Linked DNA regions of Macaca fascicularis. The protein of the gene in region 1 purifies or fractionates together with the protein of each later gene. This does not show direct contact. Links are inferred from orthologs where the notes say so. Each region holds a gene or a part of one and is shown on either strand. Other genes may lie near its edges.

Region 1 (3,696 bases):
AGATGACATACAAAAAAAGGGGGATTCCATAGCCAAATAAATTTGGGAAATGCTGGATTAATGTTACTGGTATTCTTTACTGAAGGATGTCTCAGAAAATTTACTATGCCAGTGTGCTTTATGAATCCTCAAGGTTTACAGCATTTCCCAAGTGTTTGGCTATGTTATCTTGTTTGTGAGGCACTGTCTAGGAACTAGTGTTTCACAAAAGAATATTTTGAGAAACTCTGATATAAAGTATGAACTCTGGTAAGAACTTTATAAAGAGCATTTCACTGCCTTTCTGGATTGCCATGAGAAGCCTAACAGCCAGTAAGTGGCTAAGTGGACATTAAAAGGGTCTTTGATGTCATCTGGTAATGTAATTACTGAATATGAAGTAATGCTTTGGTTTTTTAACCCTAGACTTGGAATGGAAAATTATCTATGTGGGCTCTGCAGAAAGTGAAGAATACGATCAAGTTTTAGACTCTGTTTTAGTGGGCCCTGTTCCTGCAGGAAGGCATATGTTTGTATTTCAGGTAAGATTAATCTTGGTAAATGTGTATGCCACATATGTTTTGAAGTAGACTATATTATCTATTATAACTGTTATCCCTTTCCTTTTGGGTTCAATAACTCTGTTTCTGCTGCATTCACTTTTAATCTGTTTCCATCTTGTTTTAGGCAGTCTCTGTGTCACAAAGGAACTCTTACTTCCTGGTTTTATATGCTGAGAGATGTTAATGTGATGTTTATTTTAGGGAGATGCACAGCCTGCAGTAAACTTTATACTGTATCATGGCACACAGGGTGGTGAATTTTGGGCTCTTCCTGTGAATAGCATCTAAGTATCAGACTTCCAACGTGGCTGTCTAGCATCCCAAAACATGGATTCAAAATATCTAAAACTAACTGGCATTGTCAGTAATATGCATCTTCAGTTTATGGTTTTAGCCACTATAACTGATGATGTAACAAAAACAACTTTATTTCAGCATAATCAGTAGTTAAGCTAGGTTAACAGATATGTTTAGTGGATAGAGATGTGTGGTCTTGGATCATTGGAATGACATTCCAGAGTTTACTAAAGCATCTAATAATCTACATTATCTTATAGAGGACTACTTTTGCAAATTTACTACCCCACTAGGTATTTGTGAGGAGAAGTTCTAGTCATAAAAATTATGTTCTTAGATACCACTGAGAGTATTTGGATCTATACCAAGGCTTCAGACATTGTCTTCTATATTCAAAAGTGTTATTTCTTTTAATCCATGTTAAATTGCTATATGAAACCATTCAATTATTCCTCAATTATGCATGCTTCTTTATAAGGGAGATATTTGTAATAGACCAAAGAGTAACTAGCCATAGGTTTTTAAAACTACTATTAATTTCTGTTACAAGTATTTCAACCCAACAAAGTCCCATCAGTTAAGTGGAACTCACTGAAAAGACTTAATCCAGAAAGAAAATCTAACTCTTCCTATGCCTGACCTCTGTTTTCTCACTTCACAGATGGGACCAATTTAAATGAATACTGTTGGTCAAATAATCCTATCAGAAACTGGCAAAGAATCACTTAGACACATGCTATCTCTAGAGCTGCTACCTTTCCCTCCCCTGTCCTAAATACAGAATTTAGAATCTTGGTTTCCTAGCCATAGTACTTTTGATTAAAAAGCAACAAATAATTTACTGTATCTAAAGAAATAGCTAAGAAAAGCTCAAATATACTAATTAAATATATGAATTAAAAGTGCTGTTAATCAAAGTTGTGTGAGTGCATAACCCTGTAAAAGACATGGGTAACACAATGCCCTGCAGGAGGAAGCACTGCAGTTACAGATACAGGTCAAATGCTGACACCTCTGCTTATTGCTGTGTGACTTTACCTGCCTAACCTCCTCCCTTAGTCACTCCAGTCTTCTATAAAATATGGATAATATTCTATCTCATTAAAATGTTATGGGGAATAAAACAGTACACTCAACTCACTCATAAATAGTGCCCTATTCCTATAATTAGAATTACATTTTTATTCTCTTAACTTCTTGAAATTGTTATATAAAAAAGCAGGACTTGCTTTGACCCACAGGCCTGGGGAACCCATACTTTACTGATAATTCATGATACAGTAAAAGAAACCTGGGTTGACATGTACTGATATACCTTTGGTTTTTTGTTTTTTTGTTTTTTTTTTTTTTTGCTACTATAAGAACTTACAAATAAATGCCTTGTTATTGAAACAAACCCTGAAAATCTTTTGTGTTTGTTATTAAGCATACTCCTAAGCTTTTGGCTGAAAGTGCTATAGGAAAAAAATGTATTCAAAAGCATTTCCTGCCAGTGATCTTCACGTAGTTTTACCTTGGTGTCAGTGTACATGTTGCAAAAAAGAACAGAGGAGGCACAATGTATATTCAGCCTGAAGGTTTTGCAAAATTCACCATTATCAACAGAAAGAGACTAAATTACAGCTTTTGTTTTGGGTTTTAAAACTGCTATAGTAATCTCCTGGTCTGCCACAATTTTGCCTCTCTAAATGGTTAAACATGTCTTTCTTTGAATGAGTCAAAGGCTACCAGGAAGATGTCCAGACATCTGCCTAGTATTGCTAGCTACAGTCAAAACAAAGATCTCTGCTCATCACTTCTGCATCCTAAATTATTTGAAAGGCTTGCAAGTTTCTCTACTCAAATTTGCTCAAAATGAATCCTTTTCAAATTGTAAAATGCTTTTAAAAAAATGTTTTATATTTACCACAGATTTTAAAACAGAAACATGCCTAGAACCAATTCACTGAAGGGAAGCAATATGGGGGAAGAGTTCTCATAGCAGTACTGAACTATTATGTATTTCCCATCTCCACCCACTTCCAGGTATATTAGAATCCGTTTGGGTACACTGGAAGTAATCTAACCCCTCTGTGCAGGGGTGTGTAGAATCTCTAAGACAAACAGCATATTCTCCAGGACAAGGCTGGCTGTCCCTATCCTGGTGTCTCGCCAAAGAGATCATAAACCCCTTTGGGGCAGGAACTGAGTTACCGATGAATTCCAAAATAATAAGTGCTCAGAGCTGAGCCACACATGAGATTATAAAGATGAACTGGATGGGACTCCTGCCCTGGATAAAGCGTAGCATCTAGAAGAGAAGACTGAAAAATAAACATGTTTAGATCACAGGGCATACATTCTTAAAGAATTTGTGACAAGAAATATCAGCACATAAAAAAGGAATCTATTGATTCTACCTTCTGAGTTAGAAAGGGCATCACTGAGAATACACTCAATGTAAGCTCCAAAAAATATTAAAAGTTGAATTTTTCAGGATGTGAGAAAAGGACCTTTCAGGCCAAGGGAACAGTATGTTAGAAGCACAGGGGGTGAAATACTTCTTTTTTAAATTTGTTTTTGTAGAGATGGGGTTTCGCCATGTTGCCCAGGATAATCTCAAACTCCTGGGCTCAAGTGATCCGCCCACCTTAGCCTCCCAAAGTGCTAGGATTACAGGCATGAGCCACTGTGCTCGGACAGTGTGAAAGATTTATCACCAAGTTTTAAAGAACCTGTGTAATTCATATCTCTAGAACAAGGGTGGAGTTAAAGGAGGTATGAATGGAGATGTTGGTTGGAGACAAACTGAGAAGGGCCTTATCAATGAAGTTAAAGAACTGAGATTTTATCCTTTAGAAAAGGGAATACTCATCTG
Region 2 (4,460 bases), on another chromosome or scaffold:
TGATCAGCGTAGACTGGGCCATGGTGAAAAGGAATGGATGATGTTCCAGGTGTGAGGAAGTGCAGCTTTTTAGCCTGCCAGTTATTTTTCAGTCAGCCAGTTGCAGGAAATGAGGCACACTGCTTTCCATAACTGACTTGTCTTGCAACTTTCTGAACAAGTCACACCTCCTTGACCTGTTTTTTTTTTTTTTTTTTTTCTGAGATGGAGTCTCGCTCTGTTGCCCAGGCTGGAGTGCAGTGGCAAGATCTTGGCTCCCTGCAACATCTGCCTCCCGGGTTCAAGTGATTCTCCTGCCTTAGCCTCCTGAGTAGCTAGGATTACAGGCGCCTGCCACCACGCCTGGCTAATTTTCGTATTTTTAGTAGAGACGGGGTTTCACCATGTTGGCCAGGCTGGAACTTTGGCCTATTTATTTTATTTATTTATTATTTATTTATTTTTGAGACAGAGTCTTGCTCTGTTGCCCAGGTTGGAGTGCAGTGGCCAGCTCTCGGCTCACTGCAACTTCTGCCTCCCGGGTTCAAATATTCTCTTGCCTCACGGAGTAGCTGGGATTATAGGCGCCCGCCACCACGCCCGGCTACTTTTTGTATTTTTTAGTAGAGACGGGGTTTCACCATCTTGGCCAGGCTGGTCTTGAACTCTTGACCTCGTGATCCATCAGCCTAGGCCTCTCAAAGTGCTGGGATTACAGGCGTGAGCCACCGCGCCTGGCCCCTTTGCTTATTTTTCTAAGAAACAGACTAACACCGATCTCACTAGTAGCATTGTTAAGATTAAACAAGATAGCTAATAGCTTTAAAGGGTCTAATCACAGTACCCCTACATGTAGTAGTCACTCAGCAAATCATAGCCAGGAGTGGACGAAAAGCGCTGGGAGCATTAAACCAGCCAGATTTGGAGTCTGGGTAGGGCCTAAGACGATGGCATCAGCGGATTGGGCCAGCCAAAGGGGGCGGGTTCAGAGGGAGGAGCCAGCCGCCTTCCGCTGCAGCCCCGAGCTTTGAATCAAGCGCGGTAGTTTCAGCTGTAGCCAATCCTAGAACAAAATCTTCTTGCGTCAGTTGTTGCTGAGGCCCAGATCTCACCCAGATCAGTTCTAGTCGCTGCTGCTAGTACCCGTCCTCGGCTCTTGCGTGTCCGTCCGTTACGACTCAGAGGACGGAGAGAAAGTCTAAGTCACCTTCCTCAGTATCCAGGCCGGAAGGAGACTCTCGGCTACTCGCCCTAAACATGGAGAGCAGCACTGGCTTCCCTGTCTCTGGATGCCGCAGGGGCGTCCTGTCAGGAGTTGTAGTGGCAAGATTCCAGTTCTTATGCGACTTGGTGGAGAAGCAGGAAGTTGCTGTTTATCGGACAAGGCGGGCTAGGGAGGGAAACAACGCCGCGGAGCCATATGGAGAGGGCAGGAGGTGTCCTTAGATAATGGTAGGCCTGCGGCGGACGGTGGGGCGGTGTTGAGTCCTGGCCCTTTAAACCCGAGGGGGAGGACCCGGAAGTGGATGGGCGGGGCGAAGGGCCTTAGTATATAAGAGGGCCCCAGCCGCGCGGGGTCTCTAATCTGCCATTTTCTGTCCCTGAGTGAGTTTCTGGCGTCCCAAATTGCCTGTTTTTCTCACAGGCTCTATTCCGTTCGCTGGTTCGCCACCTCAGGGGAACGATGGCCACTGAGTCCACAGCTACTGCCGCCGTCGCCGCGGAGCTGGTTTCTGCCAACAAGTAAGCGGGACTGGAAAGCTTGAGGCACTGGCCAGTCCGCGGGGAGGGCAAATGGACGGGGGCTCCGGAGAAGGGACAGACCGGTGGGCGGGCGTACTTGCCTTCCCGGGAGCAGCTGTCGCTGTTCGGGAAGGCCCGGTCACTGGAGCAGTCCTCCTCTGGCTTGAGAGCCTCGCGCACCAGCGGTAACGGCGGTCGGCTGGCGCCCCCTGCCCCGCTTTTTGCGGCCGCCATCTTGCCGGGGGCAGCGGCGGCTGTATCCATCGCCTGCCCCTCTTCTTCCTCCCCCGGCCCGGGGCGGTTGGCCGGGAGGCGGGGCCCTGGCGCACGAGTTGGCCTTCACTCCCCTTCTGTCCCCAGCGTGTGCCTCGGGTAGAGTCCCTGGATAACCCAGGAATATAACCAACGGAGATTTGGCGCCAAAAGAAAAAAAAAAACCCCTGCACGAGGAAGGAGGCTGGACCTGAGGGGTCGGGGTGGGCGGGGCCTTGCTGAGGGCGGGGTTTTGCGCGCGAGCGTTCGCTTCCCTTGCCGGCTCTGGAGCAGGGGGCGGGGCCTTGAGGAGGCGGGAAAACTCTATTGTTTGGGGCCGCTGCGGCTCCAGCGGGAGCATTTGGACTATTCTGTGGGACCGGTGAGGCTAGTTCCGCCCCTCACGCCTCGCTCACGTCTTGTGCTGGGAGATAGTTATCGCTCCCCTCGACTCCATGAGCCCCTGCCTGTGGTGGGGAGGATTGTAGTTCTTTAGACTTCGGAGGTGTTGCCTTGTTCGGGGGAACATTATCCGGACGCAAAGCGTCTTCAGGAAGCGCCGTCTGGAGCTCTCACCAGCACTGTTTGGTTGCTAGGTGAATCGGCAGTAGTGTGCACGAAGTGGAGAAGGGCTGGAGGGAAACAAGATAGGATTGCTTTGAAAGCAGCACAATGCCACTCAGGCGTAATCTATTTTTTGAACAGTGGAGGGAAACACTACATGACTTCAAGGAAACAAGTGCTGTTTCCCATACAGTAGGTCTGATTTCCCAATCTTGCCTTATTTTTTTAGTGATCTGGTTCTGTTTTTTTTCTTTTTCTAATCTTGTGCGCTTTAGAGGTTAGCTGCCTTCCCTGTGAACGGAATGGTTGCTGTGAAGTTTTTTAAATTGATATTCTATAGGCTTACACTCTGTCATGATTATGTCTTAGTTTGCTTATAGTTAGAGATTTACTTACATCTTTGCTTACCACCTTTTGTTTTCTCTGCATTCTTGTAGAGCAGTGGTTCTCAAGTCACCCTGACAATCATCTGGGAACTCATGGGAAATATAATTTTAATTTCAAACTCCCATTACCTGCCTCTTTCCCCATTGATTCGATATGAGCAGTATAGATTGGGCTTGAGAGTCGTACTATAGCTGTTATAAAAAGAGCTCCTTTTTATAATGTTTCCTGGATAGCTCTGGCAGTCAGTATTTCACTGACAGGTGTGTGTTTTTGTTTTGTTTTTGCAGACAGGGTCTGGCTCTCACATCCAGGCTAGAGTGCAGTGTTGTGGTCATAGCTCACTGCAACCTCGAACTCCTGGGCTGAAGTGATCCTCCCTAGTAGCTTGGGACTACAGTCGCCACGCCTGGCTAAGTTTTTGTCTTGATGTTGCCCAGGCTGGTCTCAGACTCTTGGGCTCAAGCAATCCTCCCGCCTTGGTCTCCCAAGGTGTTGGGGTTACAGGTGTGAGCCACTGCGCAGGACCAGGTGTGTGTATGTGTTTTTTTATTTTTATTTTTATTTTTTTGAGATAAAAGTATGCAACAAATCTCTCTTGCAGGTCCCCTGTGTCTTGCCAGAGTTAGGTCATTAGTGAACTTAGTCTCAGCTTCCTGGCAGGTTATACGTACAGAAAGTTTATATGTGGCTACAAGAAAGCAAACCATTTAAGTAGTTCCTCACACCATAAATTGAAAGCTAAAACTGAGCAATTATATGTGGGGGGGGGGGTGTGTGTGTGTGTGTGTGTGTGTGTGTGTGTGTGTGTGTGTGTGTGTGTTAGGGGGCAGGGTCTCTGTCACCCAGGCTGGAGTGCAGTGATGCCATCATCGCCCACTGCACCCTCTACCTCCTGGGCTCAAGTGATTTTCCCCCTCCTGAGTAGCTGGGATTACAGGCGCACACCACAAGACCCAGCTGATTCTAGTATTTATTTTATAGAGACGGGTTTCACCATGTTGCCCAAGCTGGTCTCCCAACTCCTAGGCTTAAGGGATCCACCCACCTGGGCCTCTGAAAGTGCTGAGGTTACCGGCGTGAGCCACCAACCCTGGCTGGTATTTTCATTTCATTCCCTCGTTTCCCCATCTAATTAGTGTGAGAGAACAATGAAAGCATGTGCCTCAGTTAAGTAAGTTAGTGGGGACATTTAGAAGTAAAGTTTATAAGGTCCTCATGTTTAAGGGTAGGTTAAAGAAAATGACTTGAATTTAGACTTTAGGTAAGAATGTACATTATACTTCGAGGATAAACATTGAAAGAATAAATATAACTTCCGAACCAGTAGAAAGGAAAAAAAATGGAAGGAGAAATAAACCTCAGTTCAGGTTTTTTAAATTTAGGAAATGGGGATCTTACTGTGTTGCCCAGGCTGGATTCCCAACTCCTAGTCTCAAGCAATCCTTCCACCTCAGCCTTCTGGGTAGCTGGGACTACAGGTATGCATCACCTCACCTGGCTTACAGTTGGCTTTGATACTAGCTTCATTGCTTCAG
Region 3 (4,176 bases), on another chromosome or scaffold:
AGTATACATTCATAGAACTTAGTTTGTAGGTAAGTTGCAGCCAGAGCAGAGAATGATATAATAAAAACTCTTTTAGAGATATTAATATGACCCCGTCTCAAGACTGGCGGGGATAGAGACTGAAGGCAGGTCATTTAAGTATCACAAAGACAATCTAAAAATGAGACCCGAATTCGTAATCAGAAAAGGAGCAATGGGGAAGGAGATAACGGAGGTAAAACATGGTGCCGAGGAGAAAAGATAGGGTTTTAGAGTTGGGAGAGATCTTTGGAATCATAGATTTCATCACCATCTTCGTCCAAGTAGGGAAAGTAATAGGAGAGGAAAAAATAGTACCCTCTCAGAATTTGTCTATGACGTCACAGACTTAATAAAAGAGCTTTCAACAGTTAATCCAGTTAATGCAATTAACAGAAGGCTTGGATGTGAAGGGCGACCCCTCAAATTTACTTTTTATTCAATGGATTAAAATGGCCAGTAATTCTCATCCTTTCAGACCTTCCAATTAATTAATTACAAGTGAGCCTATGGGGCGTGCCCAATCAATTCCTTCCCCAACCTGAAATGGGTCCTTTAGCATTATTTTAAACAGTACGTTTCCTGAAATACCACCAAACCCTCTTAAGAAGTTTTCTGTGATTTCAACAGTTTAGGCCTTCTGAATGAGCCCAGAACTCTTCACCTGCTTGTTAATTTTCCAACTGCAAAGCGTTATTGAACATTTAATGACCCTGCCCCACGCAACGCCCACTGCGGCCGGGCGAGGGAAACCAGAGTAGGTCGAGGAAGGGGAGGCCTGCGCTTTCGGGAGGGAAGCCGCTGGGGCTAGTCGGGCTGAAGGTGGGCACTTCCTTTTTTCCCTCGATACTTAAGGCTACGGGGACACAGGCCTGGCAGGCACGACGGCCGGCGCGTCTGTCTACCTTTGCCCAGAGTCCGCCTTGAATAATCAGCTAACAACCCCAGTTCCCTTGAACCCAGCGCGGGAGACCCGGCGCCATGGCTAGGTCGGTCTCAGGCACATCCCGATGCTCGCCCCGGGAAGCTCCCGGAGCGCCTCTGGTTTCCGGGTACGAATAGGAAGCTGCTCGGGAAACCCCAGAACCCTCCCTTTGAGAAAGGGTGCAGACGGCGTCTCCGTTTCCACGGAAACAGGCCGAGCCATGTCGTCACTTCCGCCGACCTGTCTGGACGCCAGACTGTTGGGAGGAAAAGAGGAAAACTGAGCAACAGCCACGACAGTGGACGCGAGCGTCTCCTCTGTGCGCATGCGCCCGCTCAGCGGCCTGCTTCTATTTATGTGGGGGATCCAACATGGCGGCCGCGGCGACCCTGGCGATGGCGGTGAAGCCCATCAGAACGTAGTAGCGGGGAAGGGGACGCGGTCCGCACTCACCGTGGCGTCGGCGGAGACTGCTGAGGGTGGTGGAGGGAAGAAAAGCGACGGAGAGCAAGAGGAAGGGCGGGCAGGCACGCAGCGCGGCGTAGAAGCGAGCGCCGGCTCGAGCTAAAGCAGAGGGCCAGAACAGTGGGGATGGCGGAGCCGCGCAGAGTAGCGTTCATTAGCTTGTCACCGGTGCGGCGGCGCGAGGCCGAGTACCCGGGGCCCGAGCGCGAGCCCGAGTACCCCCGCGAACCCCCCCGGCTGGAGCCGCAGCCGTACCGCGAGCCGGCCCGGGCGGAGCCGCCGGCCCCGCGGGAGCCTGCCCCCCGCTCGGACGCGCAGCCCCCGCCGCGGGAGAAGCCGCTCCCCCAGCGCGAGGTCAGCCGCGCCGAGCCGCCCATGTCGCTGCAGCGGGAGCCCCCGCGGCCCGAGCCACCGCCGCCGCTCCCGCAGCTGCCCTTGCAGCCGCCCCCGCCGCGGGAGTCGGCTTCCCGGGCTGAGCAGCCGCCGCGGCCGCCGAGGGAGACGGTGCGCCTGGAGCTGGTGCTCAAGGACCCCACCGACGAGAGCTGCGTGGAGTTCAGTTACCCGGAGCTGCTGCTGTGCGGAGAACAACGGGTACAGAAGATTCCTCCCTCCTGCCCCAGACCCCGAGAGCCTCAGGACCCGCCGTCTTCCCCAGCTGGTTTGCACCTTGGGACGCCCACCGAGCGCGTCCGGGTCGCCCCGAGGGTGGGGTGCGGGGGGCCGGGGCCGAGCGGGTGGACGGGGCGGTGAGCGCTGCTTCCTCCACTCCCTGGGGTGGCCGAGGCTCTCACCCGGCCGCACCGAATCCCCAAACCCCCGGCGCTCGCTCCCAACGCCGCGCCGAGCCTGTTTTCTTGTGCACTTTTCGGAACCTCAGATTTTCCTTCTTTCCTTTCTGCACCCCACACAAAATCCTGGGGCCCTGCAGGCCGTGTGGCTGGGTTCTCCCTGTGGCGCTACAGCTGTCGTTCCAGTAGAAAGGAAGAGAAAACCTTGGGGGACACGCCCCCCAGTCTGAAGCAGAGAGATTGTGTAACCCCTCTCGTATCATCCTCATCCTCATCACTATTTGTTTTGCTGGGCGCCGTGGCTGCTGAGGTGTGCTTGCGTGCCTGTGATATTTTTCTTAATCGAAGGGAATTTAAGAATAATCAAAGGTTTTCAGAGACTAAGGATCCCACTTTAGGAATGGAGAAGTGGGTTAGTTAATCTGGTTACTAATTTTTCTCTCGTGTTGGTATTGGAAAACCTTTTTAGCTTTCCTTTTTTGTGGAGTTTGTTCATATTGTAATTGAATGGGAAGGTGTCTCCTGTTTTATTTGACACCTACCCGTCATATTATTTAAATGTATTATCATTAGTTTATAGAAGAACATTGTACTCGGCCTTTGTAATTTTCGGAGGATGATGAGAAAAATCTCAGCTTTGAATTTTTTAAAACAATTGAAAATATATAGGTATGCTTTTGATGTAAGAGGTGAACAATGGAGAAAGGATAGGGCTTATGTTGGTAATTGTAATTTTTATTGTTGTGGGTTGGTGGATCTTCAGAAGTTAGAAAAGGAAATGATAGATTAACAGTAAAGAAAGAGAACAGTTTTTCTCTGTTGCTTAGCAATTATGCCCGTTATTAGGCTTTGCTTTAGCTTGGGTCTAATGGACTCCAGAAGTCACTTGTTTTTTCATCTTCAACTACCTTTATGGTCAAAATGACTGACTGCTTAGTCACAAAGTATCATGTTGAACAGTTTCACTAGATTTTTGTTTACTTTATGGCCAGCTAATGTTTTGATCATTATTTAGAAATGTTGTGTGGTCCAATCATTACAAAATGTTTTAAACCAAAATGAATTGCTTAAAGGTAGAGATCACTTTAGTCACTTCCACATAACATTTTGCTCTTTAGACTCACTTGAGTGCCCCCTCTTTATAAATGTGATGTCACTTTTTTCCCAAAAGAATATTAAAAATATTGGATTGGAGCATTTTCCAAACACTGTATTTGAGCTGCTAATCTAAGTTGGTTTGCAGTTTTTGTAATTTTCATAAATTGCAGGAGAGAAGCATTCTCTTTGTGTAAAAAATACATAGCAATAACTACCTTTACTGAGTTCTTACTGTGTGCTAGACACGGTTCTAAGCACTGCACGTGGTTTTTCTAGTAGTCCTACAGAACTCCATGGGGTAAAATCTATTATCCTCACTTTACAAACGTATGTAATTTTATTAGTACTTCTTTCCATAGTGATATAATTTCTTAGTAAAACAAAATTTCTTAATATTAACTCATATAGTTTAGAGGATTCTGCCAAAATGACGTAAAATGTAAGTCACGGTAGAACTACAAAGACCTTTATTATGTCCCTATTTATGCTGTAATAGTCACACGATGGCAAATTAATAATAGATGTGTATCATTTAATTATAAAAAAGTTTGACACCCTAGCTTTGTTAACTTGGTAACACCAGAACTACTACTTTCGTGTAATGGGAGAAAGAGGAATAATTCCATTTAATTTTTCTGTTTACTTATTAACAATGTAGGTGTCTATTGGCCCAATTTTCTCATTGTATATCAACCTTCTATCTTTTTTCATATACCTCTGAACAAAACAAAATCCATTGTATATAATCACCTTTGCAACAAAGATTTGCCACATTTTCCTGTGATTGCTGCCAGTGAATACCCTTATTATGCAAGAAAGCATAGAAAACATATGTTTAAGTAAAATTGTCATGGTTTCATGAAGGGAAATCCTAGAAGA
Region 4 (3,696 bases), on another chromosome or scaffold:
GTCGATGGTTCACCTCATACACATGTGCCCTGATGAGGACACGTGCCTGTGGGGGCTCTGTGCAGCACTTGGTCATCGTGTCCACCTCACATAACATCCCAGCAGGCTCAGCAGGGATCGTTTCTGGAGGTGGCCTAAGGGTGGGAAGGGTGTGGAGTGAGGGATGTGTACCACCCTTGCTGACCCTCTTCTGTGGACGTGTAGAGGACTTCAGTTCCCAGGGCTGCCACCCCACTGAAAACCAGTCAGCCTTAGGATCAGTGTGTTTAAAAACCTGTCTACCACTGCCTATGTGTTTAAAACAAGAGGTAGGGCCCACTTGTAACTTTCAAACTAGAAAGGTTTCAGGCTCCAGAATGGTCACTTTTGTCTCAGCCCTGGGTGTTTCCAGGAGACACCGTCGGTGGGAATGCTGTGGGTTTGTGGTCCAGGGACCAATCTGAGAGCTTTTGTTCATGAAGGAAATGAGACAGGTCTCAGGATGTGCCCTGGGCGGAGCAAGGCCAGTGCCGTGTAGTGCACTTGCTCCCTGAGTTAGGGAGCCGTGTAACTGTGCCTTGTCTTTAATTCTCAGAAGCGGAAGTTGAAGGAAGGTGGTGAGAAGATAAAGAAGAAGAAAAAAGATGACACTTATGACAAGGAGAAGAAATCGAAAAAGTCCAAGTTTTCCAAAGCCGGGTGAGAGGCAGCAGCTTCTTTGCTAGGATAAAGCCTGAACTGTTAGGGCAGGACGACTGGGAGCTGACTCACCTCCTCCCCACAGCTTCGGAAGAGGCAGCAGGGCCTAGCCTTCCTGTCCTCCTGCACGCCTCCCGCAGTGCCATTCTGGGCATACACGCTCACCTCTCTGTGTGTCAGATAGTTCCACTGTCAGTGTTGGCAGCTATTCTTGTCACTGTGTGACTGCTGATGTTTCTCGTTCTCCGGGACGCTCCTCTCTGCCCCAGTTCTCCTTCTGTCTCTGCTGTTTTCCCTTGTCGTCTGTGGTCCTGCTTCCTTCTCCTCACTTGGTCTCACCCCAGCTGCTCTTCAAGTTGCTGCTGTTCTCTGCTGCTCCTGCTTTCTCCCTGTAAATACTTTTCTTGCTCTCCCTGCCCCTTTTTGCAACCTTTTATTTCAGCCTGGCAGTGGTTTCTAAAAACCCGTCGGAAATTTAGCATATGTGACACTGTGTTGCTAACCTGTATTAACTCTCAAGCTTTGGTCTCAGCAAGAACGAGCTCCATATGCCAAGAGGAGGGAGGAGGAATGACAGGGTGGACTGTGACAGGTTCTCCTGGAGACCATGGCCCTGGGAGCAGGGGTGAAGGCCTCTGGAGTTCCCTTTGGCAGTGTCCTGTAGTCTGAGTGACCAGTTTCCCTCTTGCTTGCAGCTTCACAGCCCTCAATGCCAGTAAGGAGAAGAAGAAGAAGAAATATTCTGGGGCTTTAAGCGTTAAAGAGATGCTAAAGAAATTTCAGAAGGAGAAAGAGGCTCAGAAAAAAAGGGAGGAGGAGCATAAGCCTGTTGCGGTCCCATCAGCGGAAGCTCAGGGCCTGCGAGAACTGGAGGGTGCCTCTGACCCCTTGCTCTCACTCTTTGGCTCCACTTCTGACAACGACTTCCTCCAGGCGGCCACTGCCATGGACTCGCTGACGGATTTGGACTTGGAGCATCTGCTCAGTGAGTCTCCAGAAGGAAGCCCCTTCCGTGATATGGATGATGGAAGTGATTCCCTTGGGGTGGGATTGGACCAGGAATTCAGGCAGCCCTCTTCTCTCCCCGAAGGCCTGCCAGCACCCCTGGAGAAGCGCGTTAAGGAGCTGGCTCAGGTATGGTGACACAGTGCGGCTGGGCTTTCCTGGAAGCAGTTTGGGCAGATTGCCGTTGGTTCTGCACTGCGTGAAGCTCGCCCAGAGAAACCTTAGTGAGTTGGCAGTTAAGGTGTCAGCTTTTTCCAAACTGTCTTCTCATTCTGAGGGAGAAAACAGTGCAAGCCTTGCCCGTCAGGCATCATTTTAGGCCATTCTTCATTTCTTCATTTCTGGAAAGTTTGCTTTCTTCTGGGGAGATGGTTGTCTTTCTGTTTTCTGTCAGATTATTCTGTTTTCTGTCAGTTTTCCACTCGGCATCTTTTCTTTCATGTGATAGATGGATGATGTTGGCAACAGGCAGCTGAGGCAGAGATTCATCTTAGAATTCTTCCGAAGGTTTTGCAAATTCACAAAAGTTTGCAAACATATGAATTGCACATAGAGTATATGCTTCGTTGCCACTAGGTTTCAGTTGCTCCTTTGCATTGTGTATCTAGAGTTAGGTAGTGATTACGGGAATGCTTCCAATGTGATGAATGAAAAGTAACTTAATTTTAATTGCCGTCCATGCCCCGTTAAAACCCACCATTGGCGGGGCACGGTGGCTCACACCTGTAATCCCAGCACTTTGGGAGGCCGAGGCAGGTGGATCACCTGAGGTCAGGAGTTCGAGACCAGCCTGGCCAACATGGTGAAACCCTCTTTCTACTAAAAATACAAAAATTTAGCTGGGCAGGGTGGTGCATACCATAATCCTAGCTACTTGAAAGGCTGAGGCAGGAGAATCACTTGAATCCAGGAGGCGGAGGTTGTGGTGAGTGGAGATGGCGCCAGTGCACTCCAGCCTGGGCCACAGAGCGAGACTCTGTTAAAAAACAAACCAACCACCATCACCACCTTTAGGATATAGCAGCTCTTGCTGTTTTCCTCCAGTGACTGGGAATTGATCCCTAAGCTCTGAGAATTGTCTGTTCAAGTAACATATTTCTTAACTGTAAACCTGGCATGGATCATTAGTTGTAATATCATTTACCTTTAAGTTAAAATAACATTTTATCTTAAGCATCAGGACTTGTGATGCAGCTCTGGTGGCACTCATAATCTACAGCTGTAGGTTTTAAACCAGCAGTTCTTACAGTATTTTAGAAGCATTGTTATGTATAGTATCCTTTGTGTTTTAGGGCAGGGTAAATTGTCAGCCACTGCTAAAATGATTTTCTCACTTCCAAAAACTATTTGAACGCCGTATATAAAGCAAATAAAGTATCTGTTCCAATCTCTATCTCATCTTTGTCAGCTTGTGTTCAGCATTGGAAATTCAAGTATTGTATTTGAATGTAATGATTTAAATGAATTGTGCCATGTTGGGGTTTGGAGTATCCCTTAAGTATGACCTTGAGGTGGAAGTAGCTGAATCTGAACTTGGTGTGTTTGAGCCTACTGTCCTATATTTGCTTTCAGAATTCATGTTAAACAAACATTATATCTTGCTCTTTTTAATCCTCTGGTTTGTAATCAAATTGTTTCATAGTCTCTGAAAGTCTTGTTAAATCATTTAAGGTCTATGTGATGATAGCTGCTCATTAGAGAAAAGTCAAAACCAAATTCTTGGCTGTGTCTCCACTCATGCCATAGGTTGTGTTCTAGTGTGAAGACTTGCTGTTTCACTTTCTTGGGAAAGATAGGGACAGATTTAGTGTCAACAAAATGATACAACCGGAAAAAGCATGGGGCTCTGGTGCAAGAAAGCGGAACTGAGTAAACACCTTGTTAGGCAACCTGCCCTGCCTCAGTGATTGCCAAGTGTCGGTTAGCTCTTGGGCATAACAAACACATGGTTCAGGATCCCATAGTCAAGGTGGGCCTGGGGCCCGGTGGGGAGCTGGTGACCAGGAGAGGCTG
Region 5 (4,431 bases), on another chromosome or scaffold:
TTTGCAGTCGTTTTCTCTCTCTCTTCCTTTTTTTTGAGATGGAGTCTTACTCTGCCGCCCAGGGTGGAGTGCAGTGGTGCGATCTCGGCTCACTGCAAGCTCCGCCTCCCAGGTTCACACCATTCTCCTGCCTCAGCCTCCCGAGTGGCTGGGACTACAGGCACCCGCCACCATGCCCGGCTAATTTTTTGTATTTTTTGTAGAGACAGGGTTTCACCGTGTTAGCCACGATGGTCTCGATCTTCTGACCTCGTGATCCGCCCGCCTTGGCCTCCCAAAGTGTTGGGATTACAGGCGTGAGCCCAGGAAGAGTGCGCCTGGCCCTCTCTTCCTCTTTCTTTTCCTCCCTCCCTCCTTTCTTTTTTTTAAATAAAAATGGGGTATCAGGCCGGACGTGCTGGCTTATGCCTATAATACCAGCACTTTGGGAGGCCGAGGTAGGCGGATCACGAGGTCAGGAGTTTGAAACCAGCCTGGCCAGCATGGTGAAACCCCGTTTCTACTAAAAATGCAAAAATTAGCCGGGCATGCTGGCACATGCCTGTAGTCCCAGCTACTTGGAAGGCTGAGGCAGGAGAATCGCTTGAACTCAGGAGGAGGAGGTTGTGGTGAGCTGATATCGCACCATTGCACGCCAGCCTGGGCGACACAGCGAGACTCACACACAAACACGCACACACACAAAAAGATGGGGGTCTCACTATGTTGCCCAGGCTGGTCTCGAACTGCTAGGCTCAAGCGATCCTCCTGACTGCACCTCCCAAGGCGCCTGGATTACAGTGCGGGCCAGTGCGCCCGGGCTACTTCTGCAGCTTAAGCGCAGGTTCACTGACTCTTCCGAGAATACAGCTGACATATACGTTGCTGAAACGGTACTTGTTTACTACGGAAAGCACATTCCCCTACCAGAACATTCCTTGGGGCCGAGTCCCCAAATGTGACCCACTGCGTTCTGTGGAGGAGGAGCGCACCTTATTCCGTCCCCACAGCCAAATGCTCGTGAACTTATCGTCAGTCTTCTATCTGGACCCTACGTGCGTTTTTCACAGTTGCGCGTGTGAGCAGGTTGTGTGTGAATTTCAGGAGGAACTGGGGCGGCGGCACAGCTCGTCCACCTTGAGAGGCGCGGGCGGCACGCGGGCTGCAGTTCAGAAGAGCCCACCCAGGGCGCGCTGCGACCCCGGCCTCCCGTGTCCCCGCCTCCTGCGAGGAGGAACGGGGTCCCCATCAGGCACTCCCCGGGCAGGGCAGAGGGCTCCACGCGCGGGCCAACCTCGGCGTCCGGGAAGATAACTCCTCGGGTCGACGCCCTAGTTGTCGCCGCGTCCCCGCCCCAGCTCCTCCCACACTAGAACTTCGAGGATGTCGCGGGCGGACCGTACTTCCCAGCATGCCCCGCGCCCACCGCCGCCGTCGAGGGGCGGGGCCTGCGTGTCGGCGGCGAGGGGCGGGGCCGCGGCGCAGCGCGGGAAGTCCAGATCCCGCGGCGACCCGAGCATGAGCCTGGATCGCGAGCTTCGCCGTGAGTCCCTCGGGGGCCCCTTGCGCCGGGGGCACGGAGGCTAGGGAGGGTCTGGGACTCGGCCCCGGCCCCGAATCCCGCCGCGGAGGCTCAGCTCTCCTCTTCCTCCGACAGAGCTGAGCAAGGCGAAGGCCAAGGCGCAGAGGGCCGGGCAGCGGCGCGAGGAGGCAGCGCTGTGCCACCAGCTGGGGGAGCTCCTGGCCGGCCATGGTGAGCGCTGGGACCAGGAAGCGGGGTGCACGGCCGGGGGCTGGGGGCTGGGGGCTGGGGCCCGCGCCGGGGTCGGGGGCCGGGGGTCGACGGGCTCTTCCCGCAGACGCCGCCCCAGGTCCGCCCTCGCACCCGCGACGCCTGCCAGGCCGTGCTGTGTCCCCGCCTAGGCCGCTACGCCGAAGCCCTGGAGCAGCACTGGCAGGAGCTGCGGCTCCGGGAGAGCGCTGACGACCCCCTGGGCTGTGCCGTGGCCCACCGCAAGATCGGAGAGCGCCTGGCCGAGATGGAGGACTACCCGACTGCCTTGCAGGTGCGGGCGCCCTCACTGGCCTCGCCCAGCCCGGTCGGCCTCTGTTTGGAGCCCTTTTCTGAGGAGGGAGGCCCGGTCTTCACCGTCAGGAGCCTCGGGCTGGAAGGGACACCTGGCCTGACGCAGCCTTAACTTCACCGCGCCGGCCCAGTCCTCCAGTGGGGACCCCCCAGCCTTTCCTGGGACTGGGGCAGGAGTAGGTTTCCTGGCACCAGAAACCATTAATGAATGTTATTTTAGCTGTGTTTGTGTTGGGGGTGGTCAGGCCCCAGCCCGAAAGCTCTCCCTGACCCTGGCTGCTGGAGGCAGGACTGCAAACCCCCACCCCACCAATCCCCAGCCGCCCCTCCCCACGTGACAGCGTTGGCTGCATACAGCGTGAAGCCACTGTCACCACAGAGAGGCCTTGGCATGCAGAGGAGGGGCATGTGGCCGACCTTGGCCTGCTCTGTGGGGGTTAAGGGGAGCAGGAGTCTTTCCTTAGCAAGAACAGGGTCTCTGGGAATCTGGCAGCGCTGGTTTGCTTGAGGCGGGGTCAGCTCACAGCAGTGACTTCCTTCCACACTCAGCACCAGCACCACTACCTGGAGCTAGCACATTCCCTGCGCAACCACACGGAGCTGCAGAGGGCCTGGGCCACCATCGGCCGCACCCACCTGGACATCTATGACCACTGCCAGTCGAGGGATGCTCTGCTGCAGGCACAGGCTGCCTTTGAGAAGAGCTTGGCTATTGTGGATGAGGAGCTGGAGGGTGGGCAGGCCCCTTCTCGTTTTCTGCCTCCTGAACTGCAGGCTGAAGAGGCTGCAGCCCAGCACCCCCGCAGCCTCCTTGGGCGATCTCGTCTTCTGGGGCCCTCCCTTTGCAGGGCTCTTGTGTGAGGGGTGCATGCCCTCCGCAACCTTTTCCCTGGAGATCCTCGGCTCTTTATCCACTCTGTGCTCTGTCTGCAGCAGGACCCTTGCCCCAACATCGGGAGGAGGGAGAGGGTAGGAGAGGCACTGCACAGGCCCCAAATGGGGCCCAAAGCTGGAAACCCCATGTGGGGAGAAAGTGGCTGAGTGGGGGGCATCTTCCAGGGACACTGGCTCAGGGAGAGCTGAATGAGATGAGGACCCGCCTCTACCTCAACCTGGGTCTTACCTTTGAGAGCCTGCAGCAGACAGCCCTGTGCAACGATTACTTCAGGAAGAGCATCTTCCTTGCGGAGTAAGGCCCCACCCCACCCCAGGAGAGAGTGGAGTCCCTTGTTCCTGGAGGAAGTAGTTAGGGGAGTATTTCTCCCAGGGTCCTCCTGAGAGAGCACCCTGGCTGGGCCTCATCCCCCACCTCTCACACCTGTGCCTCACACTGGGCGAAGACCAGGCATGGTTAGGGCCCTGAGACCATAGCATGGCAGGGCTGGGGCCTGTGTGGCATCAGCAGCTATCACCGGTGGGACGCTCCTGGGTGCTCAGGAGCTCGTAGGTGCTCAGGCCATCACCCCTCTGCAGGCAGAACCACCTTTACGAGGACCTGTTCCGCGCCCGCTACAACCTGGGCACCGTCCACTGGCGCGCGGGCCAGCACTCCCAGGCTATGCGCTGCTTGGAGGGTGCCCGGGAGTGTGCGCACACCATGAGGAAGCGGTTCATGGAGAGCGAGTGCTGCGTGGCCATCGCACAGGTACCCGCTGTGTGTGGTTCCGAGCTCAGGCTCCTGGAGACTTGGGCCTTGGGGATTTTGCAAAAACCGTGCTGTCCTTTGCTCTCCAGGTCCTCCAAGACCTGGGAGACTTTCTGGCTGCCAAGCGAGCCCTGAAGAAGGCCTACAGGCTGGGCTCCCAGAAGCCTGTGCAGAGAGCAGCCGTCTGTCAGAACCTCCAGCATGGTGAGCCTGGGGCTGAGGTGGGGCCCCGGGGGTGTGGGGTGGGGGGGGGGTGAGGGGGGTGAACCTCCCGCATGGTGAGCCTGGGGCCGGGGTGGGGCCCCGGGAGTTGTGTGCAGGGGCGAGCCCAGGGGGGCGTGGAGTCCTGCCAGGTGTGTACGGAGCTCCCTCCCTCACAGAGGAGGCATGAGCACCTGTCCTTGGAGGCAGCAGCTTCCGCAAGAGGGACAGGTGCCCTAGTTCCTGACAGGAGAAAACCCCCGTTTTTCTCTGAGCTCAACACAGTGTGTCAGGGGCACTGAAAGGGCGGCCAGGAGACCAGTTGGGCTTTTATTTTGCAGCCACCATCTTCACTGGCAAACTGGAGACAGTAGTTGCTCCCCTAGCTTCCCGGGTGGAACAGCAGGTGGCACGCATGTGGTCCAGGAGTGCTGATGGCCGAGACCACCACTGGAGGTTGGCAGCAGTCAGCCCTTGCTATGAGCCAGGCACCATCCAAGTTTTTTTTTTTTTTTTTTGA
Region 6 (4,216 bases), on another chromosome or scaffold:
TCCCCCTTCACCTTCCTGGTTTCTGACTTTAGTGTCTGTGGACATCATGTGGGGTTTAAAGCCCATTTGATGATCCATTTACTTTGTTGAATACCTCTTTGTGCCAGGCAAAGAATGAAGTGGAAAGTAAAATGGATAAGATCCCTGCCCTCAATCTATTAGGGAAGATATTCTTGAAGTGAGAGCAGCTAATCATAGGCAAAAAATCCCCATGAAGCCAGGAGATCTGGGGCAGAGAGTGGAGTGAACTCACTTTTCACAATGACCCAGCAACATGGGAGAGGGTGGGGGGCTGGATTTCAGCCCAGCCACTGTGCACAGCCCTTTAATGCTGTGTATCATCTCTTTTCTTCACAGTGCCATCTCTGTAGAGCTGTACTACATCTTTGCCACAGTATGGGGTCGGGAGCAGTACACTTTGTACGGCATCCTCTTCTTTGTCTTCGCCATCCTGCTGAGTGTGGGGGCTTGCATCTCCATTGCACTCACCTACTTCCAGTTGTCTGGGGAGGATTACCGCTGGTGGTGGCGATCTGTGCTGAGTGTTGGCTCCACTGGCCTCTTCATCTTTCTCTACTCAGTTTTCTATTATGCCCGGCGCTCCAACATGTCTGGGGCAGTACAGACAGTAGAGTTCTTTGGCTACTCCTTACTCACTGGTTATGTCTTCTTCCTCATGCTGGGCACCATCTCCTTTTTTTCTTCCCTAAAGTTCATCCGGTATATCTATGTTAACCTCAAGATGGACTGAGTTCTGTGTGGCAGAAGTATTGCTGTTCTCTCCCTTTCTTCATGCCTCCTTGAGCTCTCCTACCAGCTTCTCTTCTGATTGACTGAATTGTGTGATGGCATTGTTGCCTTCCCCTTTGCCCTTTGGGCCTTCCTTCCCCAGAGAGGGCCTGGAAATTATAAATCTCTATTACATAAGGAGTATATATTTGAAATTTTTAAGTTGCCTTTAGTTTTGGTCCTGATTTTTCTTTTTACAATTATCAAAATAAAATTTGTTAAGAAAAAGGATCATGTAGTTGGAGGTTTTGGTCTGGATATAGGAACTCCAGCCCCGCGGTTAAGGGCACGGTCCTTTAGAAAGCCGAGCTGGCCACTGAATGCCCGAAGCTTGAGTTCTCCAACCCAACTTGGGAACTCCCGGCGTGGGGAACCTACATTGCCAGAGCTGGGTTTCCGCGACTCAGCCGGTGCTCAGCATAACGGAAGTGGAGGAGTCGGACCTCTTTGTGGGAAGTGAATTGAATCACCTTGGCAACCCTCGGGGCGTGTGGCAACGCCCTTTCCGCCGGAAGTGGGTGTCAGCGCCTCCACGTGCTGTCCCTCCCCCTCCCCTTTTCGGCCCAGTAGCGGCGGCTCAGCTGCTGCCATGGAGCCCGCCGGCCTGGAGCAGCTCCTACGGGAGCTGCTGCTGCCGGACACCGAGCGCATCCGTCGGGTACGGGAGTAGGCATAACCGGGCCAGGGCGAGCGGGAGGTTGCGGGAAAGACCCGACTCTCACCCCTAGCTTCCCCCCAGGCCACGGAACAGCTCCAGATCGCTCTTCGGGCCCCCGCCGCTTTGCCGGCTCTCTGCGACCTGCTGGCCTCGGCGGCCGACCCCCAGGTGAGACCCCTGACTCTCCCCTCCGAGCTTCCCACTGTACGCCACTGGTCAAGCCCCAATATCCGCCCCCTGCGGTCCGCTCAGCACCCTCCTGCCCGGACCCCCACGTGCTTGTTTCCTCGTCCTAGATCCGCCAGTTTGCGGCGGTGCTGACCCGCAGACGACTGAACACCCGCTGGCGACGGCTGGCGGCGGAGCAACGGGAGAGGTGGGTTGGGCCTGGGTTGGGGCGGGGCCAGGCGGAGACTTTTCTTGGGCAGTCTGTGTACCAAACACCTGCCCACTGTGTTCCAGCCTCAAGTCCCTGATCCTGACGGCCCTGCAGAGAGAAACAGAGTAAGTACCTACCCCCTTTTCTCGGGATCCTGACGACCTTGTCGGGGTTTCTGCCTTCCCTTTCAGTTCCAGGCTGGGACTTGTGGGGCAGGGACTTCAGTTCTAGACCCAAGGTGGAGCGAAAATTTTAAGGCTGTTTTGAAGACTGAAGTTCTTGAGGAAGGGTGACTATGATCTGCCAAACTCAAGTCAGAAGAATAAGACTGAAATTCAGGCTAGTAAGACTGAACTTACCAGATTACATGCCCGCAGTGCTGCTGGGCTCCCTCTGAGCTGCTGTCTCATGTGTCCCAACTTGGTAAAGACCCTGTGCCCACACCTCCTGAAAGTTTCTCTCCTGGCTGCCCCATTGTGCCTGGCCACTGTGTGCAGAGGAAGGTATTGGAGAGTGATAGAGGAGATCTCTCCTGTTTGCAGGCACTGTGTGAGCCTCAGCCTGGCCCAGCTTTCAGCCACCATTTTTCGAAAGGAAGGCCTGGAGGCCTGGCCACAGCTTTTGCAGCTTCTTCAGCACAGTACCCACAGCCCCCACAGCCCAGAGAGAGAGGTACCATCACATGGTTGGCAGGAGGGAGGGACTAAGAGGTGGGATAGACCATGTAAGCTTGCTCTCCAATCCTCTATTCTTGGACAGATGGGGCTTTTGCTGCTAAGTGTGGTGGTGACCTCCCGGCCCGAGGCCTTCCAACCCCACCACCGGGAGCTGCTTCGGCTTCTGAATGAGACTCTTGGTGAGGTGGGCTCTCCTGGGCTGCTCTTCTACTCCCTGCGCACTCTGACCACCATGGCCCCCTACCTCAGCACTGAAGACGTGGTGAGATGTGGGCCCTCGTATCTTTGACTCCCTTTCCTCAGGCCTTCATGTCCTCATCTGTAAAAGTTACAAAACTGCTTTGGATTCTTTACCTGCCTGTGGCCCTTCCTGACAATTGAGAGGGGATGCTGTAGGTGGGCCTGGCTATTATGTCTGGGCTCCTCCTCGCAATTCAGGCTATGAGGAAGCTGTCAGCTGCTGGGGTGTGAGATTAGGCTGCATCATGCTGTCTGTGATGTGTCCCTCAGCCTCTCTCTCGGATGTTGGTGCCCAAGCTGATCGTGGCTGTGCAGACTCTGATCCCCATAGATGAGGTGAGGACAGGTGGGCAGGAGCTCTGTTGGAAGAAGAGTGCAAAAGTGACCAGCTTGGCCCACTGAAGAAGAGCATGGTAACCTTGTGCCTTGTTTGTCAGGCAAAGGCCTGTGAGGCCCTTGAGGTTTTGGATGAACTGTTGGAGTCAGAGGTGCCCATCATCACCCCCTACCTCTCTGAGGTCCTCACATTCTGCCTGGAGGTGAGCCTGGAGTGGACATGGCCCCTGCTACATGCTCTGTTGGGACTTTCCTTCCCTGTCTCTGATTCTTATTATTCTCTGGACAGGTGGCTAGAAATGTGGCCCTGGGCAATGCAATACGCGTACGTGTTCTCTGCTGCCTCACTTTCTTGGTCAAAGTCAAGAGCAAGGTGAGTGAGTGCCCATTGACACACATCACCCCACCCACTCTCTACCCTTAGTCTCACTCCTGGGACTTTCAGTTCATCTCAGGGTATCTAAAGTACTGTGGGGGTTCAAGCCTTGGCCTAGCCTCACCCCAGCTCCTGCCTGGGAGATTGGGAATTTTCTGTCGGACCTTTTATGGCCTGGAAGACTGGAATTTTTAATGTGAGCCCATCCTGGGAGCAGATTCTTAGGGACACTGTTCCACCTTCTCTGTCAAGGCCTTACTGAAGAATCGTCTCCTGCCACCCTTGCTACACACCCTTTTCCCCATTATGGCTGCTGAGCCCCTGCCAGGCCAGTTGGATCCTGAGGACCAGGATTCAGAAGAGGAAGAGTTGGAAATTGAGCTGATGGGGGAGACTCCCAAGCATTTTGCTGTACAGGTGAGATGTGGGGCAGGACAGAGGGGGAAGGTGTTAGGTGGCTGTGGGAGGTTGGGGAGGCAGAGATGGAGTCGAGCAAAGTAAGTCTCCCCATCCTATCTTAGGTTGTGGACATGCTGGCGCTACACCTGCCCCCCGACAAGCTGTGTCCCCAGCTGGTAAGTGTGGCTCTGTCCTTCTGGTGTCCCTACCTCCAAGTGTGCCTAGTCCCCTGAGGCCAAGGACGTTTAGACCCTGGGAGGTGTGAAGGTCTATTTCCACAGGAATGGGCAGGCTCTTTCTGGGGTTTCAGAAGCGTGCCACATGCTTCCCTAGATGCCCATGCTGGAAGAGGCCTTGCGGAG
Region 7 (4,296 bases), on another chromosome or scaffold:
CAAAGTTGTGTCCCCAAATTTTCTATTTCTCCACACTTTTCCCAACAAACACTACTGGCTTAATTATCCAATCTACTTCAATAGAATTTCAAACTTGGGCTAAAGTCCAATCTTCTCTGCTCACCTCTCCTTCTGAGATTAAATTGGTGTGGAAGAAAACCTGTTTCCGCTGGGTGCGGTGGCTCACGCCTGTAATCCCAACACTTTAGAAAGAAAAAGGAAAGGAAAAAAGGAAAGAAAGAAGAAAGAAAAAAGGAAAGAAAGAAGAAAGAAAAAAGAAAAGAAAGGAAAGAAAAAAAAGAAAGAAAAAAGAAAGAAAAGAAATAAAAAGGAAAGAAAGAAGAAAGAAAAAAAGGAAGAAAGGGAAAGAAAGAAGGAAAGAAAGAAAAGAAAGAAAGAAAAAAAGAAAGAAAGAAAAGCAAGCAAGCAAGCAAGCAAGCCAGCCAGTCAGCCTGTTTCTAGACTCACAAGCTGACACTGAAGTTCTCTGTTTTGTGTGAGGCTTTGAATCTGTTTGATCTACACAGTTCAATCAAATATTTATATATTCACTCAAATATTTATTGACCTGGTAAATATGATCAGTTACTAACAGGTTCTGGGGTTCCAGTGAGGAATGAGTCCTACCTCGTCAGAACTAATGACAAAAGCAGAAATTAATTCATTCGTCAAATAACAAACTAATACAAAGACACAGCTGTAATTGCTTTAAGAAAAAGAACAGTGCTGTAGGCACTTGATCTTGTCAGGGTTGGGGAAGATGGGGAAGAAAAGGCTTCCTGGGGTGCCGATATAAGATCTGAAAAGTATAAATTATCCAGGAAAAGAGCTGCGAAAAGATTGTTCTAGGCAGAGAAATACACATGTGCCAATTTCCCGAGGATTAAACCAGAAACCATTTCGTCCATTTCGTTCATTCTACAGGTTATTTACTGAATGTCAAATACGTCTGAAGCGCTCCCCAGACTTCGTTTTATTGTTCTTGTAGAAAGCAATTTATAATTTTAATTGCTGTTGCTATATTTAGCCGATGTCCCATTAGGATAAACTCAAAACTCCAGGTTCCTCATCTAAATCCCACTTTGAAGTTGTCATCTGCGCCCTGCGTAAAACGTTCTCCTGGTGACGTAAGAGCCTGGGCCTCCCTCCTCTTAGGGACTATCCCACGCGATCAGCCAGTCACAGCCCAGGACAATCAGCTTGACACCTTCTTTCCCCAATCGCAGGGCAGCTCCTCCCAGCCAATGACAGGCCTCCGAGGGGAAGCCCCGTCCCCCGCGGAAATATCAATGGGCGAGCCCTGGGAGGAATAGAAGTCACGGCTCTCGCGAGGATGCCCCCGGCGCTCCTCAATTCCCGAGGCGGGCCGTCACGTGACCCGGGCTCGCCCAATTAGCGCGCGGACCACTGGGGTAGTCGCGGTTCCCGCCAAATACGAGCGCGGCGGCCGCGGCGGCAGCAGCTGCGGCGCGGGCGGGAGGGCGAAGAGCAGCGGCCGCCTGAGGGGAGCCCGCGCCTCCGCCGCCTGAGAGGAGCTCGAGCCGCTGCCGGGGTGATGCTGGAGGAGCCGGAGTGCGGGGCGCCCGGCGCCAGGGGAGCCACCGCAGGTCGGTTCGGGCTCGCGCCGAGGGGAAGGGGGGGCGCGGCGCGCGGCCTGGACGGGCCGAGGCGGCGATGGGAGGCGGACGGGCCTCCCGGCGCCGAGCCTGGTCCTGTGGGCCGGGCGTTCACCCCCTGGAGTTTTCTCATCCCCAGCGAAGGCCTGGCGTCCCCAGGGGCACCCTCCTTGACGTTATTGTTGTAGCCGCGACCATATTGTTTCCGGCGCTTTTGGGTCAGTTCGTCCCTCCAGGGCCCTCTGGGGCGACGGGTCGGAGGAGCCGAGAGGGGAAACTGAGGCCCAGGGAAACGAAAGGGCTTGCCCTGAAGGTTACTGGGTGCGTTTGTGTCCCTTGACCATGTTGGATCTTGCAACGGGTGGGGAAACTGAGGCCCGAGCTCACACGAGCTCGGGGACCGGGACCGATGCCTCTGCGGGTCGGGGCAAGCCCGGGTAAGAGACCCGGATGGTGGGGATGGCCAGGAGGCTGGGACTCCCAAGTTCTTGCTACTGCCTGATAAGCACCGTGACTTTCTCCTCCCTGTGCCTTGGAACGGGGTCTTTGGATCCCACAACAAGCCTTCCCGAAACGTGGGAGGGTGAACCAAGGAAGACCAGACTGCTCCTCTCCCTTGCTGGACTCTGCATTACATAACGCTTTGGCAGCGCTTGGCATTACGCTTTGGCACATAGTAGGTGCTCACTAAATAATGTGAACGAATGAAGGGCTAGAATGGACACCAGTCCAGTTTCTCAATCTCAGCAGTGTTGATATTTGTTGCTGTCCTGGGCACGGCACTGCAGGGTGCTGAGCATCATCCCTGGTCTCCGCCTTTTGCAGGCCAGTAACAGCCCCTCTCCCCAACTCTTAGTAACAACCAAAAATACCATTGCCCTGTGTTCCCTATGCAGCAGATTCCTCCTTGGTTGAAAATCGTGGCTGTAGTTCCTTCTACCCTTTGGGATTTCACGGAGACATGAAATTAATATAAAGTTGGTACTGTCCTGGAGCTGTGATGTTTTAAGTCAGGATGTTTAACTTTATTTTATTTTATTTTATTTATTTTGAGACAGTCTTGCTCTGTTGCCCAGGCTGGAGTGCAGTGGCAGGATCTCAGCTCACTGCAACCTCTGCCTCCCCGGTTCAAGTGATTCTTCTGCCTCAGCCTCCTGAGTAGCTGGGATTACAGGCTTGCACCACCATGCCTGGCTATTTTTTTATTTTTCAGTAGAGACGGGGTTTCACCACGTTGGGCAGACTGGTCTCGAACTCCTGACCTCAAGTGATCCACCCGCCTCGGCCTCCCAAAGTGCTGGGATTACCGGTGTGAACCACCATGCCTGGCCAGGATATTTAATTCAAAAAAAAAAAAAATTGCTACTCGCTAGGACCATACTATCATGAAAGGAAAGTATATTTTAGTGCCAAATAAAATTAGGATGTAATCGCAGAATAAAGAGCAGTTAGTAACTTTATACACACATATGTGTTAATTGTGTGTATCTTTGGATCCCTGGATTGGGAGTGTCCGTTTTATATACAGGATTTTTTAATGAGGGGGGTCCTGTTTTTAGTGAGGTTGTTTCTGTTCCACTTGCATCAAAGCTAGTGACTCAAAACCACACAAATAGATCTTTGTGATTGTCCTGAAAATAAAGTTAAGTGACTAAAAAGCATATCCTTCAGCTGGGTGTAGAAATCCATGTCTTTTGGTAACTGGAAACTTGAGAATGATATTCTCTGAAGTGACTAGAAAGGAAACGAATTTTCTCAGTACCTTTACTTATTCGCTAAGCTTGGGGCAGAGGGTGGGGTGGTTTCATGTATGGATGATGAAGTTTTTTAGGAAGCTCCAGTCTGCTTTTAAAAAATACTCATATAACGCTTATAAAACATACGTAGACTAACCAAAATAACTAGGTTTTTCCAAGCCAGATGTCCTGGTAAGTGTGAACTTCCTAAACTTACTCTGTTTAAGGTATTTATCTAAAGACTCGGTGCTATTTATGGTCACTTCGGCATCTGCTTTGATATTATTAGATGCTTTTCTTGAGATTTTTTTTGCAGGAAAATGTTCTGTCTTATCATCTCTTGATAGCACTTCAGCTCCTGCCTGGCATGCTCCAGGTGCTTTAAATTGTGGTACCTTCATGAATTCTCTTTAAAAAGGAAAGGATCCCTTTTCTAATTTTACAAATTTGGTGGTGGTGTGGGGGCTTGGGTTGGAGGAGGATGTTTGGGGATCATGTGAATGAAATAGGTAATCCGATGTTTTCTCTCATCCCTACTTTTACTCATTCCACTTTCATTTCATGAAACAGTTCCTGTTTCTCTCTTAGCTGGCTTTCTGATGTATTCCAGACCCTAACCAGGTACCATAGGTGCAGCATGGAACAAATCTTTCTGCTATCATAGAGTTGGCATTTTGTTTAGGGAGAGACATAATAAACACGAAAGTTTCAGATTAAATGCCACAAAGAAAATAAAACAAGACATGACAGTGTCTAGGGTAGGATTTCTCGAACTATTAACATTTTGAGGCCAGGAGCTGTGGCCAGCAGTTTGGGAGGCCGAGGCGGGCAGATCACAAGGTCAGGAGTTCGAGACCATTCTGGCTAACATGGTGAAACCCCGTCTCTGCTACAAATACAAAAATTAGCTGGGGGTGGTGGCACGCGCCTATAGTCCCAGCTAC

What was found.
Region 2: the proteins of ASF1A (region 1) and NASP purify together in Homo sapiens (affinity purification with mass spectrometry; 6 studies listed by BioGRID and IntAct, counting the BioPlex papers as one, with this or other methods). This does not show direct contact. The link is inferred for Macaca fascicularis from reciprocal best matches to the Homo sapiens genes ASF1A and NASP.
Region 3: the proteins of ASF1A (region 1) and UBN2 purify together in Homo sapiens (affinity purification with mass spectrometry; 3 studies listed by BioGRID and IntAct, counting the BioPlex papers as one, with this or other methods). This does not show direct contact. The link is inferred for Macaca fascicularis from reciprocal best matches to the Homo sapiens genes ASF1A and UBN2.
Region 4: the proteins of ASF1A (region 1) and UBN1 purify together in Homo sapiens (affinity purification with mass spectrometry; 6 studies listed by BioGRID and IntAct, counting the BioPlex papers as one, with this or other methods). This does not show direct contact. The link is inferred for Macaca fascicularis from reciprocal best matches to the Homo sapiens genes ASF1A and UBN1.
Region 5: the proteins of ASF1A (region 1) and TONSL purify together in Homo sapiens (affinity purification with mass spectrometry; 4 studies listed by BioGRID and IntAct, counting the BioPlex papers as one, with this or other methods). This does not show direct contact. The link is inferred for Macaca fascicularis from reciprocal best matches to the Homo sapiens genes ASF1A and TONSL.
Region 6: the proteins of ASF1A (region 1) and IPO4 purify together in Homo sapiens (affinity purification with mass spectrometry; 4 studies listed by BioGRID and IntAct, counting the BioPlex papers as one, with this or other methods). This does not show direct contact. The link is inferred for Macaca fascicularis from reciprocal best matches to the Homo sapiens genes ASF1A and IPO4.
Region 7: the proteins of ASF1A (region 1) and CHAF1A purify together in Homo sapiens (affinity purification with western blotting; 3 studies listed by BioGRID and IntAct, with this or other methods). This does not show direct contact. The link is inferred for Macaca fascicularis from reciprocal best matches to the Homo sapiens genes ASF1A and CHAF1A.

Annotation. Positions count from the first base shown.
Region 1 is NC_088378.1:22,830,689-22,834,384, forward strand, and holds part of ASF1A (histone chaperone ASF1A), read left to right. Parts: intron 1-405; coding exon 406-521; intron 522-3,696. UniProt on the Homo sapiens protein: Histone chaperone that facilitates histone deposition and histone exchange and removal during nucleosome assembly and disassembly.
Region 2 is NC_088375.1:189,135,894-189,140,353, reverse strand, and holds the start of NASP (nuclear autoantigenic sperm protein), read left to right. Parts: upstream 1-1,561; 5' UTR 1,562-1,663; coding exon of another isoform or gene 1,664-1,722; intron 1,723-4,460. UniProt on the Homo sapiens protein: Component of the histone chaperone network. Binds and stabilizes histone H3-H4 not bound to chromatin to maintain a soluble reservoir and modulate degradation by chaperone-mediated autophagy.
Region 3 is NC_088377.1:180,910,661-180,914,836, forward strand, and holds the start of UBN2 (ubinuclein-2), read left to right. Parts: upstream 1-1,237; 5' UTR 1,238-1,534; coding exon 1,535-2,002; intron 2,003-2,185; exon of another isoform or gene 2,186-2,509; intron 2,510-4,176.
Region 4 is NC_088394.1:5,674,130-5,677,825, forward strand, and holds part of UBN1 (ubinuclein-1), read left to right. Parts: intron 1-574; coding exon 575-678; intron 679-1,373; coding exon 1,374-1,812; intron 1,813-3,696. UniProt on the Homo sapiens protein: Acts as a novel regulator of senescence. Involved in the formation of senescence-associated heterochromatin foci (SAHF), which represses expression of proliferation-promoting genes. Binds to proliferation-promoting genes.
Region 5 is NC_088382.1:154,152,109-154,156,539, reverse strand, and holds the start of TONSL (tonsoku-like protein), read left to right. Parts: upstream 1-1,439; 5' UTR 1,440-1,497; coding exon 1,498-1,522; intron 1,523-1,636; coding exon 1,637-1,732; intron 1,733-1,838; coding exon of another isoform or gene 1,839-1,902; coding exon 1,903-2,045; intron 2,046-2,614; coding exon 2,615-2,798; intron 2,799-3,124; coding exon 3,125-3,254; intron 3,255-3,538; coding exon 3,539-3,710; intron 3,711-3,799; coding exon 3,800-3,914; intron 3,915-4,431. UniProt on the Homo sapiens protein: Component of the MMS22L-TONSL complex, a complex that promotes homologous recombination-mediated repair of double-strand breaks (DSBs) at stalled or collapsed replication forks.
Region 6 is NC_088381.1:92,003,048-92,007,263, reverse strand, and holds the start of IPO4 (importin-4), read left to right. Parts: upstream 1-1,349; 5' UTR 1,350-1,378; coding exon 1,379-1,447; intron 1,448-1,528; coding exon 1,529-1,615; intron 1,616-1,743; coding exon 1,744-1,823; intron 1,824-1,909; coding exon 1,910-1,951; intron 1,952-2,368; coding exon 2,369-2,498; intron 2,499-2,585; coding exon 2,586-2,765; intron 2,766-3,013; coding exon 3,014-3,079; intron 3,080-3,180; coding exon 3,181-3,282; intron 3,283-3,368; coding exon 3,369-3,452; intron 3,453-3,707; coding exon 3,708-3,872; intron 3,873-3,976; coding exon 3,977-4,030; intron 4,031-4,187; coding exon 4,188-4,216. Other genes in the region: TM9SF1 (transmembrane 9 superfamily member 1), read left to right, coding at 358-751. UniProt on the Homo sapiens protein: Nuclear transport receptor that mediates nuclear import of proteins, such as histones, RPS3A, TNP2 and VDR. Serves as receptor for nuclear localization signals (NLS) in cargo substrates.
Region 7 is NC_088393.1:5,141,814-5,146,109, forward strand, and holds the start of CHAF1A (chromatin assembly factor 1 subunit A), read left to right. Parts: upstream 1-1,414; 5' UTR 1,415-1,555; coding exon 1,556-1,607; intron 1,608-4,296. UniProt on the Homo sapiens protein: Acts as a component of the histone chaperone complex chromatin assembly factor 1 (CAF-1), which assembles histone octamers onto DNA during replication and repair.